Danio rerio: one gene and its partners. The protein of the gene in region 3 purifies or fractionates together with the protein of the main gene of each other region. This does not show direct contact. Links are inferred from orthologs where the notes say so. Each region holds a gene or a part of one and is shown on either strand. Other genes may lie near its edges. The genes, in order: mepceb, gphnb, prpf4 and ddx23.

Region 1 (4,242 bases), on a different chromosome or scaffold from region 3:
GTGTTCAGAGATGCTCTTCTGCAGAGCTCGGTTGTAACGAGTGCTTATTTGAGTTACTGTTGCCTTTCTATCAGCTGGAACCAGTCTGGCCATTCTCCTCTGGCATCAACAAGGCATTGTTGGCACATGCTGCCTTGTGATTGGCTGATTAGAAATTTGCGTTAACGAGCAGTTGGACAGGTGTACCTAATAAAGTGGCCGGTGAGTGTATATGTAGGGGAGAAGTCAAAAATACATTGAATTAGTCAAAATTATTTTTTATTCTATGCCAAAAATCATTAGTATAAGTGATCATCATCATACATCGAGACGTTTTATACATGTCTATATTGTAAATATATCAAAACTCATTTTTTGAATAGTAAAATACATTGCTAAGACCCTAATTTGGACAACTTTAAAGGTGATTTTCTCAGTGTATAATACCATTATCTACCTTCAAATTTCAGAATAGTCATTTTAATTTATTCATATGTTATCAAAAATAGTTCATTTTGGCATTAAAAAAGACATACCTAGGGGAATGCTTATTTATTCAGCTTATTTTTCTAAAACTCAACACTTATGACTTGTTTTGTGTTCCAGGGTCACATATATGACACTCTTATTGTAATATATTTCTATACCTTTAGTTAGCTATCTCTTCTTCTCTCTTGTCTGTAAATAAGCTAAATGTGTGTAATTTAGGCCATTTACACCAGTCCTGCCAAACAAAAATAATGATTTAATAATGCATACACTGAATCCACTGACTCAAGTGGGTTTTCTTTCACAATAATCAAAATAATGAATCATATTATGCTGTTATTTTCTTGTTTTTGGCAACAGGTTCAGATCAAAAGGACTACATCTCCCAGAAGTCTCCTCCTCCTGCAGCAGAGTGGGAGGGTCTCTTTAAAACTCGCAGAGGCGCTAATTCCATACGATATAAAATGCTAATATGACATAAGTCATGTTTTATTAGTTATCCGATCATTAGTCGTTGTTATAAGCGTAAATTCAGCGCGGAAGAACTCTCACAGGGGTTGTTTACACATGTGACGACTGCCTGTTTCGAGTTCCCGAACGTTCTCCAAAGCAGAATTATGGGATTCTGCTCAAACACATACTCTTGTTAAATAAACAAATGCATTTTGTCGTCAATTTGTTATATTTTACTGATTTTGACGATAATATTTAGTGTCTAACGGGTCAATTCAGGCAGTCCGCTGGATACCTATTAAAAGAGGAGGGGCGGTGACTGCGAGCACATGCCTTCATTTAAAGCTCCGCCATTGGTTGTTCGAGGGGCCTTAACGTATATCGCGCTTTCTGATTGGCAGACGCGACTGTCCGTCAGGCTTGGTCTGTGGTGGAATATATAAGCGCGCTGGTCTGCTGTGCCACAGGGCGAGATGGAGCACTGCGAGTTCAAGCGCTCATGAACATTCGACAGATCAAAGTCTATTTTTAATCAGCACCATTTTAGCAAAGTGTTTTTCATATCTGCAGTAGCGCGAGTCAAGTGCAGCTGTGTGTTTACGTAGCTCTAATGAGCGCGGGTCTGTGTACATAGTGTGTCGTGTGCGCTGTTTTTGTTTGATTTTTGGCGTTCGTGTTTACTCTCAGCGCGAGAGAGCCGGAGAAAATATCTCGCTCAGTACTGTGTGTGTGTGTCTGTGTTAACGGACGTGTGCGTTTGTGTCGGAAAGGGGGGGAGCTTTCGAGAGTCGCGTTTCCGTTGCATTATTCATGAGCGTCGCGGTAGCCCCGCCCATAGGCGGAGTTAGTTAAATTAACGCGCCGTGGAGCTGTTAGATGAGCCAAATGTAACACGTGGGTCACAAGCACATCAGTGCCCATAAAACAATACAGAAAGCAGGCTCAGAGTAGTCAAGTAAGTACTCATCTGCAAGCGTCACACATTTATATCTTGTATATTGTACTTGAATGGTGTGTTTCTGTGTTTCCAGCGGCTGATGGATGTCTACTGTGATGTCAGTGCAAAGTGAGCTTCCTATTGCTGGTGGGGCAGCAGGTTTACTGGCCCACCCGCCGTCCCCACTGCAGACCATTAAAGATGAGGTGACCGCTAACATTGTGCTAACCGAACTCGCAGCCAATCACGTGACCCCACAGGATGGGGTTACCGCCGAGGGGCCCTTTCAGATTAAAAATGGCCTACAAACTCGAACTGAAGTGCAGACGCAGAAACTGGCGCAGAAGCGGCGCTACAGTATGAACGTGGCGTTCAAACATCCGAGTCTCGGTAAGCGAAGACGCCGCGCCAATTCTGAATGCGATCCTGTGCTTCCTACTAACTTCCTGCTGGGCGGGAATATATTTGATCCGTTAAACCTCAACAGCCTATTGGACGAGGAGGTCAGTAAAGCGCTTAATGCCGAAACGCCCAAATCATCGCCACTCCCCTCTAAAAACCGAGACCCGGTGGAGATTCTCATCCCGAAAGATATTACAGACCCGCTGAATTTAAGCGGCAGGGGCGGAGATTCGGCTGCCGGTGTGTTGGTTTCTCCAATGAAGATCAGACGCAGACACCGCAACCGCCATCATCCTGGAGCGACCACAGGCGTTGCCGACCAATCAGATTGTGAGAAGTCAAAAACCAATGAAACGACATTATTTCCTGTAGCTAATCCTGAAGAGGCTGCGAACAGTGCCGTTCTTCCGCCTGTCGAGGAGTCGCCGCGTCCGTATGAGCTCAACACCTCGATTAATTGCCGCGATGAAGTGGTGCAACCTATTCTGCCACGGCGTAAGTCACACCCCTCTGCGTCTAGCTCCGCCCCTCAATTACTCTCTAGGTCCGCCTCTGCGCCCCATCCGTCCAAACATCGGAAGCGCAGACGAACTGTCAGTCGCTCGGACTCTCGCCTGTCAATCACACCAACTCCGCCCACCAAGCGGCTAATCACACACACTCAAACCTTTCACACTCCAGTTATAGGCGGAGCCAGCGGAGCTCCTCCCTTGGGGGCGGAGCGAAGCCATGAACAGCAGCGCAGGCCGCGGCGCAAATACCATAATGGAGCCTACAGCCGTTACTATGGCTACCGCACACCATCGATGACCGACGACCCACGATTGGCTCTTTTTAATCCCGAATGGTTCTCTGGAAAAAAAGTTCTAGATGTGGGCTGTAACACGGGTCATGTGACCCTTGCCATCGCCAAACACTGCAGCCCCGCCCACATCCTGGGCTTGGACATTGATGGCGCGCTGGTGCAAGCCGCCCGCCAGAACCTGCGCCATTTCCTGTCGGAGCTGCAGGACAGGCAGCAGGCGGGAGCAGGTGAGGGGTCAGAGGTCACGGGGCTGGTGCCGCTGATGGACCTGCAGCTGGTGTTACCCAGGTTTCCTGTCTCCTTCATGCGCTGCCGCGGACCCATCGCCGCTCCTCCCATAATGCATCAGTCTCCAGGCCAGTTCCCCAGCAACGTCTGCTTCCTGAAGGTACACTAACATAGCTGAAGCAGCAGATCTTCCTGACGTGTGTGTGTGTGTGTGTGTGTGTGTGTGTGTGTGTGTGTGTGTGTGTGTGTGTGTGTGTGTGTGTGTGTGTGTGTTATTGGATGTATAATTAATGTTTGGATTTTGCACACACAAACATCTGTCTGTATTTCTATATATGGAATCTATCTATCTATCTATCTATCTATCTATCTATCTATCTATCTATCTATCTATTCATCCATTCATCTATCTATCTATCTATCTATCTATCTATCTATCTATCTATCTATCTATCTATCTATCTATTCATCCATTCATCTATTTATCTATCTATTCATCCATTCATCTATTTATCTATCTATCCATCCATCCATTCATCTATCTATCTATCTATCTATTCATCTATCTATCTATTCATCCATTTATCTATCTATCTATCTATCTATCTATCTATCTATCTATCTATCTATCTATCTATCTATCTATCTATCTATCTATTCATCCATTCATCTATTTATCTATCTATCCATCCATCCATTCATCTATCTATCTATTCATCTATCTATCTATTCATCCATTCATCTATCTATCTATTCATCTATCTATCTATTCATCCATTCATCTATCTATCTATCTATCTATCTATCTATCTATCTAACTCTATTCATCTATCTATCTATCTATCTATCTATCTATCTATCTATCTATTCATCCATTCATCTATCTATCTATCTATCTATCTATCTATCTATCTATCTATCTATCTATCTATCTATCTATCTATCTATC
Region 2 (4,014 bases), on a different chromosome or scaffold from region 3:
ACTGTATGTTCAAGCACACTGAGATTTGATGCAGAACAAATATGCTCAGGCTTCTCCCATTGGACTTTCCCTGTAATAAATGCACTGATAAAAGCAAGGCTGTAATCTCATTTAGGGTCCTATTGTACTGTACTGTACATATGCATCAAACCCATATCCTTGACAACTAATCTGAACACTGCAGGGACACGTCCTCCCTCTAGCGAGCTAAAAGCATAGGCTAAATGACAGAGGAGAACATGTAAGGCAGGGATCACCAAACTTGTTCCTGGAGGGCCGGTGTCCTGCAGATTTTAGCTCCAACCCTAATCAAACACACCTGAACAAGCTAATCAAGGTCTTACTAGGTATACTTGAAACACCCAGGCAGGTGGTTGAGGGAAGTTGAAGCTAAACCCTGCAGGGACACCGGCCCTCCAGGAATGAGATTGGTGACCCCTGATGTAAGGAAATACCCAAGTGACTCTGGCCCATCAGCACTATATGTATAGTGTTAACCCAAATTTAGCACCATGGACAGCGTACATTGTGCGGCCGCTGTATTTCAGCACTGTGGTTAACCCTTAAATTTGACAGTAGTGTTTGTAAAACTGTAATAAATACTGCAATAAAAGCATTCTGTGAATGAAATGAGTTCAAAACAATGCAGGTCAATACACTAGCACCCTTGTTTGCTTTGACAATCAATTAACTATGCCCTGGTAACAAAATGGTTATGTGTCCAAACTATACCACCTATACATTTCCTCTAGTAGTTAAATATCAGGCTGTTGTAGGATCAAGCACACTGAGGTTTGATGCATTTGATGCAGAACAAATGTGTTCAGGTTTCTCCCATGGGACTTACCCTGTTATAAATGCACTGATAAAAGCAAGGCTGTAATTACATTTGGGGTCCTATTGTACTGGACTGTGCATATGCATCAAACCCATATCCTTGACCACTAATCTGAACACTGCAGGGACACGTGCTCCCTCTAGCTAGCTAAAAGCATCGGCTAAATGACAGAGAAGAACATGTAAGGAAATACTCGAGTGACCGACACCTGTATTTCACACTATATGTAAAGAGTTAGCCAAACGTCAGCACCACGGAGAGCACTCTGTGAGAACTGCTGCATTTCAGCACTGCAAAAGCACTCATCGTGCGGCCGCTGTATTTCAGCACCGCTGTTAATCTCACATTACACTGTAGCTTTTGAATAACTGTGATAAACGCTGTGATAAATGTGTTCAGAACAATGCAGGTCAATACGCCAGCAGCCGTGTTTTCATTGAAAATTAATTAACTATGTCCTGGTAACAAAATGGTTGTGTTCAAACTTTGGAAAAGATATAAACCCTGTGAATTCCCTTTAGTAGTTAAATATCCGGCTATTGTATGTTCAAGCACACTGAGATTTGATGCAGAACAAATATGCTCAGGTTTCTCCCATGGGACTTTTCCTGTAATGAATGCATTGATAAAAGCAAGGCTGTAATTACATTTGGGGTCCTATTGTACTGGACTGTAGTCATGCATCAAACCCATATCCTTGACCACTAATCTGAACACTGCAGGGACACGTCCTCCCTTTAGCTAGCTAAAAGCATCGGCTAAATGACAGAGGAGAACATGTAAGGAAATACTCGAGTGACCGTCGGGTGCATTTCAGCAGTATATGTACAGCGCTAGCTGAAATTCAGCACCGCGGTATTTATGCACCGCGGAAAGTGCAAATCCAGCGGCCGAAGAATGTTAAATCCGCGCACAATCCAGCTGCAAATGTACTTCAGCACCGCGGACAGCGCACAAGCAGTGACCGGCGTATTTCAGCACCATGGACAGCGCTTATCAAGCGGCCGCTGCATTTCCGAGGCACCGCCGCTTTTGCTGCTGGTTTCCCCGCTCTACAGCAGTGAGGAGGGGGGAGGTGAAGCGGGGTTTCCCTAAGAGCTGGATGGAGCTCCTCTGCCTCTCCTTCTCTGCACATTACCACCTTCACTAGCGGATTTCCATCAGAGGGTTATCACCAATCACATCGCACGAAAATCCGCGGCCTCCGCGTTTTTTTCCTCTTTTCCCAAAGCTGCATTATCCTGCTAATGCAAGAGATTTCAAGCCTTAAATGCTATCGTTCAGTGCATGCATTTGATTGATTGATTTATTTAATTATTATTACACAGCAATGAAATTAAATCGCAAACTGCACAGCCTTCGCTCGAGCGTTTCACTCGTCACCACTGGCAAAACATGAAGCACGGATGGAAATCACCGGCGAAGGCATGTTTGCATTAACAAGGCTGTCATGCAGAGAGGAAACCAGCATTCAGCCCACGATTCACAGCCGTCCTCACTAATATCAGCCCACTGCATCCACCGTCTCTGACAGTAAATCACATCTTCAGCACCGATCACACCAGATGACTGCAGGTACTTCACAAATAATACAGCATTCACTGAAGCAAATGTGGAGAATGCGCTCATTTAAAGGAGAAAATGAAGAATTGAGCAGATAAAACTCCATCCTCTCGTGAGATTTCAAAACACTGTCACGCATGCATATAAGCTAGAAGAGGGATTGTTTAGTCGTTTGGCCGGTAAATGAATCTCTGGAAGAGAAAAGGGCTTTAAATCACCGCTGACCAGCAGAGTAACACACAAACACACACACACATGCCACACACACACACATGCACGCACACACACGCTTGGGGAGGAGAGGCTCCGCTGGCAAACAGCTGGAAAACCGCAAGTGCTTTTCCCCGAAAGAAACCGCACGATGATTTGAAGGGTTTTGGCCTTTACCTGTCAGGACGCCGACCCGGATTTGGTGGTCGTGGTTTGTTAAAATCATCCCGTCTGACGCCATATTCAGCACCGCTGTCGCCGCACTGAGAACTCCAGGCAGAGCCGAGAGCCGAGCGCATCGAACTCTGGAGGGGGAGAGAGGGAAGCGCGCAGGCCAGAGCAGCAGAACCCAGATTCAGCGCTCACTGGGGAAATAGACAAAACTTAAAAATAAAATACTAAATAATAATAATAATAATAAAACAAAAATAAAATACAACATAAATACAAAAAAAAAACACAAATTAAAATAAAACACAAATATAATTAAATAAAAAATAAATAAAACCCAACTACAAATAAAACAACACAACACAAATAAAACACTGATAAAAGCGACACTGTGGCGCAGTGGGTAGCACATTCACCTCACAGCAAGAAGGTCACTGGTTCGAGCCCAGGCTGAGCCAGTTGTCATTTCTGTGGAGTTTGCATGTTCTCCCTGTGTTGGTGTGGATTTCCTCCGGGTGCTCCGGTTTCCCCCCACAGTCCAAACACATGCGCTATAGGGGTATTGGGTAAACTAATTAGGCTGTAGTGTATGAGTGTGTGTGAATAAGTGTGTATGAGTGTTTCCCAGTACTGGGTTGTGGCTGGAAGGGCATCTGGTGTTTAAAACACACACACACACATATATATATATATATATATATATATATGGGGCGACATGAGGGGTGCAGTGGGTAGCACGTTCGCCTCACAGTAAGAAGGTCGCTGGTTCAAGCCTCGGCTGGGTCAGTTGCCATTTCTGTGTGGAGTTTGCATGTTCTCCCCGCGTTCATGTGGGTTTCCTCTGGGTGCTCCGGTTTTGCCCACAGTCCAAAGAATTGGATAGGATAAAATTGACTGTAGTGTAGGAGTGTGTGATTGAATGAGTGTGTATTGATGTTTCCCAGTGATGGGTTGCGGCTGGAAGCGCTCTGTAAAAACATGATGGATAAGTTGGCGGTTCATTCCGCTGTGGCGACTTCAGAATAAAAAAACAAGACAAGAAAATGAATGAATATATATATATATATATATATATATATATATATATATATATATATATATATTAGAGCTGTCAAAATTAGCGCGTTAACACATGTGATTAATTTGAAATATTTAATGCGTTAAAAAAATAACGCAAATGACGCAATTGCAGTTTTTTTAATGTTCTGTTGTGGCCGACGTGTGTTCAGGGA
Region 3 (4,324 bases):
GGCCTTTTACACTGATTTTCCAACTACCTATGGCGTTATTTCAATGACAAATATCGTAAGCCCAGTATTTCAAGTTCAGATCGCATTAATGTAATACGAGCATGCAAATCTCTTTGCTTGGTCGCAGATATGCTGTTTGTGCACAAAAACTTCTTGCACACCCTCAAATATATGCTGCTCAAGCACAGATTTTCTTGTGCACTCTCAAATAAACCCTGTTGAAGTGCGATTTAGTGCGTTTATGTAACAAGTATCTCCAACATTTACTAGATCTGCTAGGAATATTTATGAAAGTCTCCAACAGACCTACAGAGCAGCATTAATGCGTCCTAAAGTAAGGTGAAACAGCCATAAACTTCAGCAAGATAAAGTCATTGTATGCAGAACCACAGACCTTTTTCTAGAAGTATAATTATGGAAACTGTGCTCCTTATAACTGAAAATGAAAGCTACATCATGTTTGCTAACCTCACGCAGCCCTGCCAGTCAGCCAGCATGTAAGCTAACCTTAAAGGTTTAAACAAATAACGCACAGCACTACTACAACTACAGAAAAGTTTGCTCTGTTATAATTCACTTACATTGTAATTAGTTTTGGTGCGATGACTGCTTTTTCCCTAACATTCTTAAGACAATCTTGTTTTATGTTCAGCAGAAAAATGAAATAAAAAAGGAAATAGTGAAAAAAAAATTACTTTTGCACTTATTGTGCAACTACCCCTTTAAATTAGCAGTTTTTAAATCCAGAACAAAATGCAATGCTTTTACAGCCACTGACCTCTCTCGTCTCTCTGCAGGCCCCTCCCCGAACAATGTGATTGGTTCTCCAAGTGCACGAAGGCAGGCCTTCACCTCTACATCATCAGTAGAGACGGTGATCTGTCTGGCTCTCTTCCTGCGCTCAAACTCTGCCAGCACTTCAGCCTGTCTCTCGCTCACACGCTCCTCCATCTCCATGGACTCACCTGACGATAGAAACATCACATGATTAGAAAGCAAAGTAAAAGTTGTGAATTTTAAATGAAAATGACATTTTGATAACAGACCACATTGTTAAAACTGCATTTGAGATGATGTGCAATTAAACTACTCATCTAGTTAGTTCAGTTAACCATTTTTTGTGCGCCCATTATTTCACTATTTGTTTTCATGTTTTATTACTACATAAAAACAAAACGATTTCCACAAAACATTTTTTAAATGTTTTTTATTGTCTTTGTGTATACATTAAGTGTTTTATGCACTATCCCTAAATACATACAAAAATAATAGAGGATGAAAATTGCTATGACTGATGTGATTAAGTTTTTGTATATAAATCTATCTATCTATCTATCTATCTATCTACATACATACATACATACATACATACATACATACATATACATATATATATATATATATAGCTAAATAACAAACAATAATTCTTTTTGATAATTACATTTTTTTTTTATATTTCACAAGTGGCGCTAAAGAAAGAAAAGATTTATTTCTATTTTTTATCAAGGGAATGCTAATAATAATGACCTTAAAAATTGTTGCACTATTTATTAAAACGTTTCATTTTATTCAAAAACAATTTAAAACTATATTATAGGAAATACTGTAAAATTACCTGGGGAAATTTTGAAAAAGCATAATTTATCTGGAGGGTCATTAATTTAGAAACTGTATGTAAGATGGTATAATTACAATATCATACTCAACGGAGGGAAAAATATTTTGAGGACCAAAATGAGCAAAAATATTCAGTTTAGTACTGATGATGTTATTTATATGGCCAAAGAGTAAGATGTTTTGAAACTCTGCTGAATCTATTACATATTTATAATACAGCAGACTACTTCCATAAGAAGCACAGATATCAGCTGTCACACTATCTCCAAATGACTGAAAGTGATATTTAAATGCTTAGTTTTATAAGCCAAGATCTGTAGTTTTTCTTAAAGAGGCAAACTTTAAGCTGCAATGAGGTGTAGTACAAATAACCCTCACAAACATCTTATTATGCATCACATTTAAAACTCATGTTTCGAGAAATGTAACTTATTTAAAATTACGTGATAATAAATATATTGAAAAGTCCAGTAACTGTTTATCTTTAAATTGAACAATATAGAGATTATTCTGGAGTTTACTTTATAACAATCAATAAAGAGTTGAATGCAAAGAAATGCAGATTTATGCGGATAATAAATATATGAAAAAGTCCAGTTCATCTTTAAATTAAACAATGCACAGGTCAGTCTGGTGTTTCCTTAATAACAATCAATAAAAAATACAGCAAAAAGATCCAAATGTCCCGAAGATGCGCTAATTGAAACATCCGAGCTTAAAAATATCAAGTTTACCACTGGAGATATTAATATGTCCAGCCTCAATGCCAGCTTTAACGGCATCTTTGGCAGTGGTGGATGTCCCTTCACGGCTGAGACGCTCCTTCTCCTTTTCCTCAAGGCTTCCATAGAAGATCCTGGACCTTTTCACAACTGGAGCTTCATCTTCATCTGACATCTTTCCTGATATTTGTCCAACAACACCTAATCCAAAAAAAAAGGCATTAACATCAGAGACCAATAGTGTAAGTGACATCTAATGTAAATATCTATGTAAGTTATGAAAGCCCCAGCATGCATGTTACATCCGCAAAGTTACTTCACTGTACCACAGTATTATTATTTTGCAGGGTGTTCAAAAAAATAAGACTAATTTTACCGAAACCAAGACAAACTCATAAAAGATAAACATTAACTCTTCACTAATCCCTTACCCTTTACCAAACAAACGAAGCTTCCTTTAAAAGCAGCTTGTTTTGTAAGATAGTGCTGTGATAAAATCCACAAACACGACCACACGACGCGGGCTACTCGGCGCACAGTATGTCGTCATATCCGCCTTCTTGACTTTTACCGTCATGGAAATAAATAGTGACTTCTAGCGGTCGGAATTATGTCACAGAGTTGTTGCTTTTTGCATTATAACCCTGATTATAACACAATTTCAATAAGGCAAAAATCGAATAACAACTATCATCTACATATTTAGAACAGAGATCAAATAAAAAATCTATAAAATATAAATACAAATGATACTCTTAAACCATAGAACAATCACAACTAAAAGAAAGAAAGAAGAAAAAAACATGTACACCGTGTCTTGTATTATTTAGATTTTTTTCCAATAAACTAAACAATCTTCTTCCACATTTTGATTTTATCAACTTTAAAGATTTACAGTATAGCCAAATATCATTTTGGAAAACTAAAAATAGTGTTTATTTTTAAGGCACTTGCATTTATGAATATAACATTTCCCCCAAATTAGAATTGTTCAATACAAATTGAAAATCAACATCTTTCCCTAATAAACCAAGAAAAATATAATTTTTAGAAAAGGAATTATATCAGAAAGTGAGTGGCTACATCTAAAGTTACCTCGGACCAGACGGAAACTGCAGACGTTTTTTTCCTATTTCTGCGGAGAATTTTTTAAAAATCTGCGGATTTATGCAGAATGTTTTTGTGAGCATCATAACTAAAGATTTATTATATATAATAAAAAGTAATATATTTTAACTTGTATTTAATGTTTACAATGCACATTCATTTAGATACACTTTGTTTTGTAAAGAAAGCAAGTCTTGTATATAATAAATCTACTAAAAGACAGAAAATATTACTTTACAAACTATATTGTAAATAAATAATATAAATATGTTTTATATTAGTCAATAATATTACTGAAATTAACTTAGAAACAGATTAAATATAAATTTATGATGGGCAAAAATATCTGTGGAAATTCTGTGTGCACAGATTTCGTATGGGCCTAGTTATACCCAATTTCTGTAGTGCATTATTAATCAGTGTTTTTGAGTCCAAAGTCTCAAAATATTCGAATGCAAGTCCTAAAAGCTCCGTGTACGTTTTCGTTTACGTTGCTCACGAGAAAACGAAAAAACGAGATTTTGGCTGGATTTTCGTTTTTTGGTTTAGGGTAGGAAAACGGATAAACGACTTTAAAATTCATTTTACACATGTAGGCGGTGCTGAAACGCCCACTTTCCTCTAATTGGTCAACCAAATCTGCGCTCGTGACGTCACCTTCAAAATAAAAGCCTTACACGCAGGCTTTTAATTGTTATTATTTAATTATATATTAACTAAGTTTACATATTCTATCATTTGAACCACACACAGTTAGCAGGCTTACATTCATTGCGTATGTATAAATTAAATAAAAACATAAAGCAGTATTCTTAGACATTTGTCATTAAAATAAGGTCATAGTTCACTGCTAAGCTTCTTGCTGCTGTGCACCTGAT
Region 4 (3,290 bases), on a different chromosome or scaffold from region 3:
GTTTACAAACGCCGAGTCCCGTGGAAGAGCTCCAGATGCAAACTTTTCTTTTCTGTTTAATTTACAATTAAAGTTGTTGCACTTCTGTTGGTTCCTGCCTCTAAATGAGCAAGTTTTAACTACTTGTAGCGTTCAGAAAAAACAAAACACCTGTGAAGAAACTCGACACAGAGGAACATAAAAACCTACTGCCAGCTAGCGTTTCAGAAGTGTTGTTGCAAAGCAACACAAACAGCACGCAAAGGTATGAATGCATGACTACGCACAAGCCAGGTGCCATGAGTCCAGTTAGCATAGCTTTGTTTAGTTGCACCAGTTCTTTGCGTGCAACAGAAACGCGATGTTGTGAAGCTTTTACAATTAATTAACTGAGACGAATTAAAGCACTGTTAGTAGTGAAATCAGTTAATCGTTGCATCCCTAATCCTGAACCGTAGCTATTTGAACTGGAATATGGAAGTTAGTTAATTTTCAGGCAGTGCTTAATATCATTGCATCTGCTGCAAAGTTTCCTTAGTACTACATTAGAATGACAGTATAGTTTTCAACTTTTTTTTTTTAAACAAAGAAAAATTATATTTTCATAATTATCAAAATTTCATCATTAACCCCAGTTTAAAATATGGATGAAAAGTTCTGTTTAATGCTTAAAATAGAAAAAAGAGGATATTGCGCTTTATTTATTTCACATGCAAGACCATTGTCAATAACAGAATCCAATGAAGAGCAAAAAAATAAATAAACAAAAACTAAATTAATGAAATGGATAATATACTTGATGTGTCCAATAAAAACCAACAAGAGTCATACAAACGTTTCAGTCATGTAGGACCTTCCTCATTGTTCACATTCAATTGAAACAGTTAAAAAAAATATTGCAATAATTACCATTATCATAGCATCACCCAGTCCTACGGTCAAATTGATGAGAAAATATGACCACGAGTTCTGCTTTATGAAAAAAGTGGCAGAGATGATGTTAAACTCACCCTCGATGTTCTTGGCCATGTCGTAGTTTAAGACCATCGAGACGTCCTGAATGTCGATTCCTCTGCCTGCCACATCTGTGGCCACCAGGATGTCTTTGGCTCCGGCCTTCAGGTTGGAAAGAGCGAACTCTCTCTGTTCCTGACCTTTACCACCGTGAAGTGTGCAAGCATTGTACTGCAGAAGAGGGGAAAAAAGAAAGATTGAGTCACTGATTAATTACCAGCAGGTCAGTATGTCATAAAATCTCTTTTAAAAAAGTTGTATTTTATTTAGTAATGCTTCACGATCTACGTTGAGCTATAACAGGCAGATGTCCATTTTCTTCCTGAATTTGCAGCTCTCATAGATTTGCTTACCAAGTCTGTCTAAATATGGCTGTTTGCTATTATTATGTACATCTTTAATATCAAAATCAGATTGGTTGGCTTTTTAAACATTATGCGCCTAGGAAGATAGCATTTTTTGCCATCTTGACATAAAAAAAATGCTGCTATGGTGTCCCAAAAAACTGCCTAGGTAGCGGTAAGCTCTGTTTCCAGATCATGGGTCCCACCCCTTCATCACCAATAAGCATTTCGAAGCCACGGTTTACAGTAAGTTTATAACATCTAAGGAATGTTGTTGGGCATGTTGTGAAGCAGAGTGCCTAAAACTGCCAAGCTGTTACACATTCAATGTAAACCATGTCTTCATTTCACAATTATACATTCAAATTCAACATTCATTTCAACAATTACAGCTCTATGTGTGTAAAGTATGTTACAGCAACTTCAATTGCAGCTCCACCAATCAGAATCAAGAAGCAAAACAACAAATTTTAAGAATTTACTCCTGTAAAGCATTACAGACAGCACTTAACACAGTGTACTCACTCCCATCTTCTCCAGAGATTTAGCAAGCACATCGCAACCCTTCTTTTGGTTAACGAAGATGATGATGGGCGGCTCGAAGCCACTTGCCAAAACTTCCAGAAGCTTCTTCCTGTTCGCCACAAGAAAACATTTGTCAATTAAAAACTGAAGAACATTTTTTGGACAAAGTGCGCTTGAATAAAAACTACTCATTTCGACAAATGATGGGTTAACGTGTTCTGACCTCTTTTCACCCTCGGACATGAGGATGACCTTCTGCTCCACCCTCTCGTGGGGTTTGCCTGCAGAGCCGATGTACACCACCGCCGGCCGACGGAGGTAACTTCTGGCCAGACGCTCCACTGCAGGAGGCATAGTAGCCGTAAACATGACCGTCTGAAACACAAGAGATATAATATGATACAATCTCATGCAATACAAAGACATTTAGGAAAATGAAACATAAAAGAAAGCAACAGAAAGGACGCTTGCGAATTTATTACACTTAGTAGACAATTTATTTTAATCAAAATTTCTAATTAGCCAATCAAATAGCAGCAACTCAATGCATTTAGCCATGTAGACGTGGTCAAGATGATCTGCTCAAGCATCGGAACTTGGAATAAATAGGAGTTGAGTGACTTTGAACTAGGGAATTTTTACAATTTCTGCAATAAACATTGATATTTTATTACGGTTTCTCAAGATAGTTTAATAGCTCTATTTGATGGACCTCAGGGGAGTCGTTACAGTATTTAGGTAGAGAAATTAAATAAACACAATGCAAAAAAAGCTTTTCTTACTTTGCTTTGTCTCGTTTTCAGTCCAAATATCTAAAGAATTATTTACATATTTAAAATAGTAAAAGTATTTTTTTGTTTTCAACTTCGGGAGAAAGAAGTTTACATTAAATTACACTGACTTTTTCCCTAAATAAGTAAAATTATTCTGTTTTTGATGACAAAAAGATTATCATAAATCATAAAAACTCTATATAAATACAGTAATTATGTAAGGTCTATCCTGTCTTATATCAACGGTTCAGGTTGCTGGTGGTGGTGTAATAGTGTGGGGGATATTTTCTTGGCACAGTTTTGGCCCATTAGTACCAATTGAGTATAGTGTAAACGCCTCCGCCTACCTCAGAATATTGTTGCTGACCATGCCCATCCCTTTAAGAACATAGTGTCTAGCTAATTTCTTGGCACACTTTGGGCACATTAGTACATATTGAGTATCGTGTCAATGTCACAGCACGAGTATTGTTGCTAACCATATCCATCCCTTTATGATCACAGTGTACCAATCTTCTGATGGCTAGTTCCAGCAAGATATCACACCATGTCATAAAGCGCAAATCATCTCAAACTGGCTTCTTGAACATGAAAATGAGTTTAGTGTACTCAAATGGCCTCCACAGTCACCAGAACTCAATCAAATTGAGCACCT

The links.
Region 1: the proteins of prpf4 (region 3) and mepceb purify together in Homo sapiens (affinity purification with mass spectrometry; 4 studies listed by BioGRID and IntAct, with this or other methods). This does not show direct contact. The link is inferred for Danio rerio from reciprocal best matches to the Homo sapiens genes PRPF4 and MEPCE.
Region 2: the proteins of prpf4 (region 3) and gphnb purify together in Homo sapiens (affinity purification with mass spectrometry; 3 studies listed by BioGRID and IntAct, counting the BioPlex papers as one, with this or other methods). This does not show direct contact. The link is inferred for Danio rerio from reciprocal best matches to the Homo sapiens genes PRPF4 and GPHN.
Region 4: the proteins of prpf4 (region 3) and ddx23 purify together in Homo sapiens (affinity purification with mass spectrometry; 4 studies listed by BioGRID and IntAct, counting the BioPlex papers as one, with this or other methods). This does not show direct contact. The link is inferred for Danio rerio from reciprocal best matches to the Homo sapiens genes PRPF4 and DDX23.

What each region holds. Positions count from the first base shown.
Region 1 is NC_133198.1:47,985,407-47,989,648, forward strand, and holds the start of mepceb (7SK snRNA methylphosphate capping enzyme-like), read left to right. Parts: upstream 1-1,386; 5' UTR 1,387-1,876; intron 1,877-1,952; 5' UTR 1,953-1,962; coding exon 1,963-3,453; intron 3,454-4,242. UniProt on the Homo sapiens protein: S-adenosyl-L-methionine-dependent methyltransferase that adds a methylphosphate cap at the 5'-end of 7SK snRNA (7SK RNA), leading to stabilize it.
Region 2 is NC_133195.1:54,118,105-54,122,118, reverse strand, and holds the start of gphnb (gephyrin b), read right to left. Parts: upstream 2,853-4,014; coding exon 2,789-2,852; intron 1-2,788. UniProt on the Homo sapiens protein: Microtubule-associated protein involved in membrane protein-cytoskeleton interactions. It is thought to anchor the inhibitory glycine receptor (GLYR) to subsynaptic microtubules.
Region 3 is NC_133180.1:62,701,688-62,706,011, reverse strand, and holds the start of prpf4 (U4/U6 small nuclear ribonucleoprotein Prp4), read right to left. Parts: upstream 2,867-4,324; 5' UTR 2,771-2,866; intron 2,541-2,770; 5' UTR 2,515-2,540; coding exon 2,352-2,514; intron 966-2,351; coding exon 779-965; intron 1-778. UniProt on the Homo sapiens protein: Plays a role in pre-mRNA splicing as component of the U4/U6-U5 tri-snRNP complex that is involved in spliceosome assembly, and as component of the precatalytic spliceosome (spliceosome B complex).
Region 4 is NC_133198.1:15,736,486-15,739,775, forward strand, and holds part of ddx23 (probable ATP-dependent RNA helicase DDX23), read right to left. Parts: intron 2,238-3,290; coding exon 2,086-2,237; intron 1,972-2,085; coding exon 1,863-1,971; intron 1,165-1,862; coding exon 990-1,164; intron 1-989. UniProt on the Homo sapiens protein: Involved in pre-mRNA splicing and its phosphorylated form (by SRPK2) is required for spliceosomal B complex formation.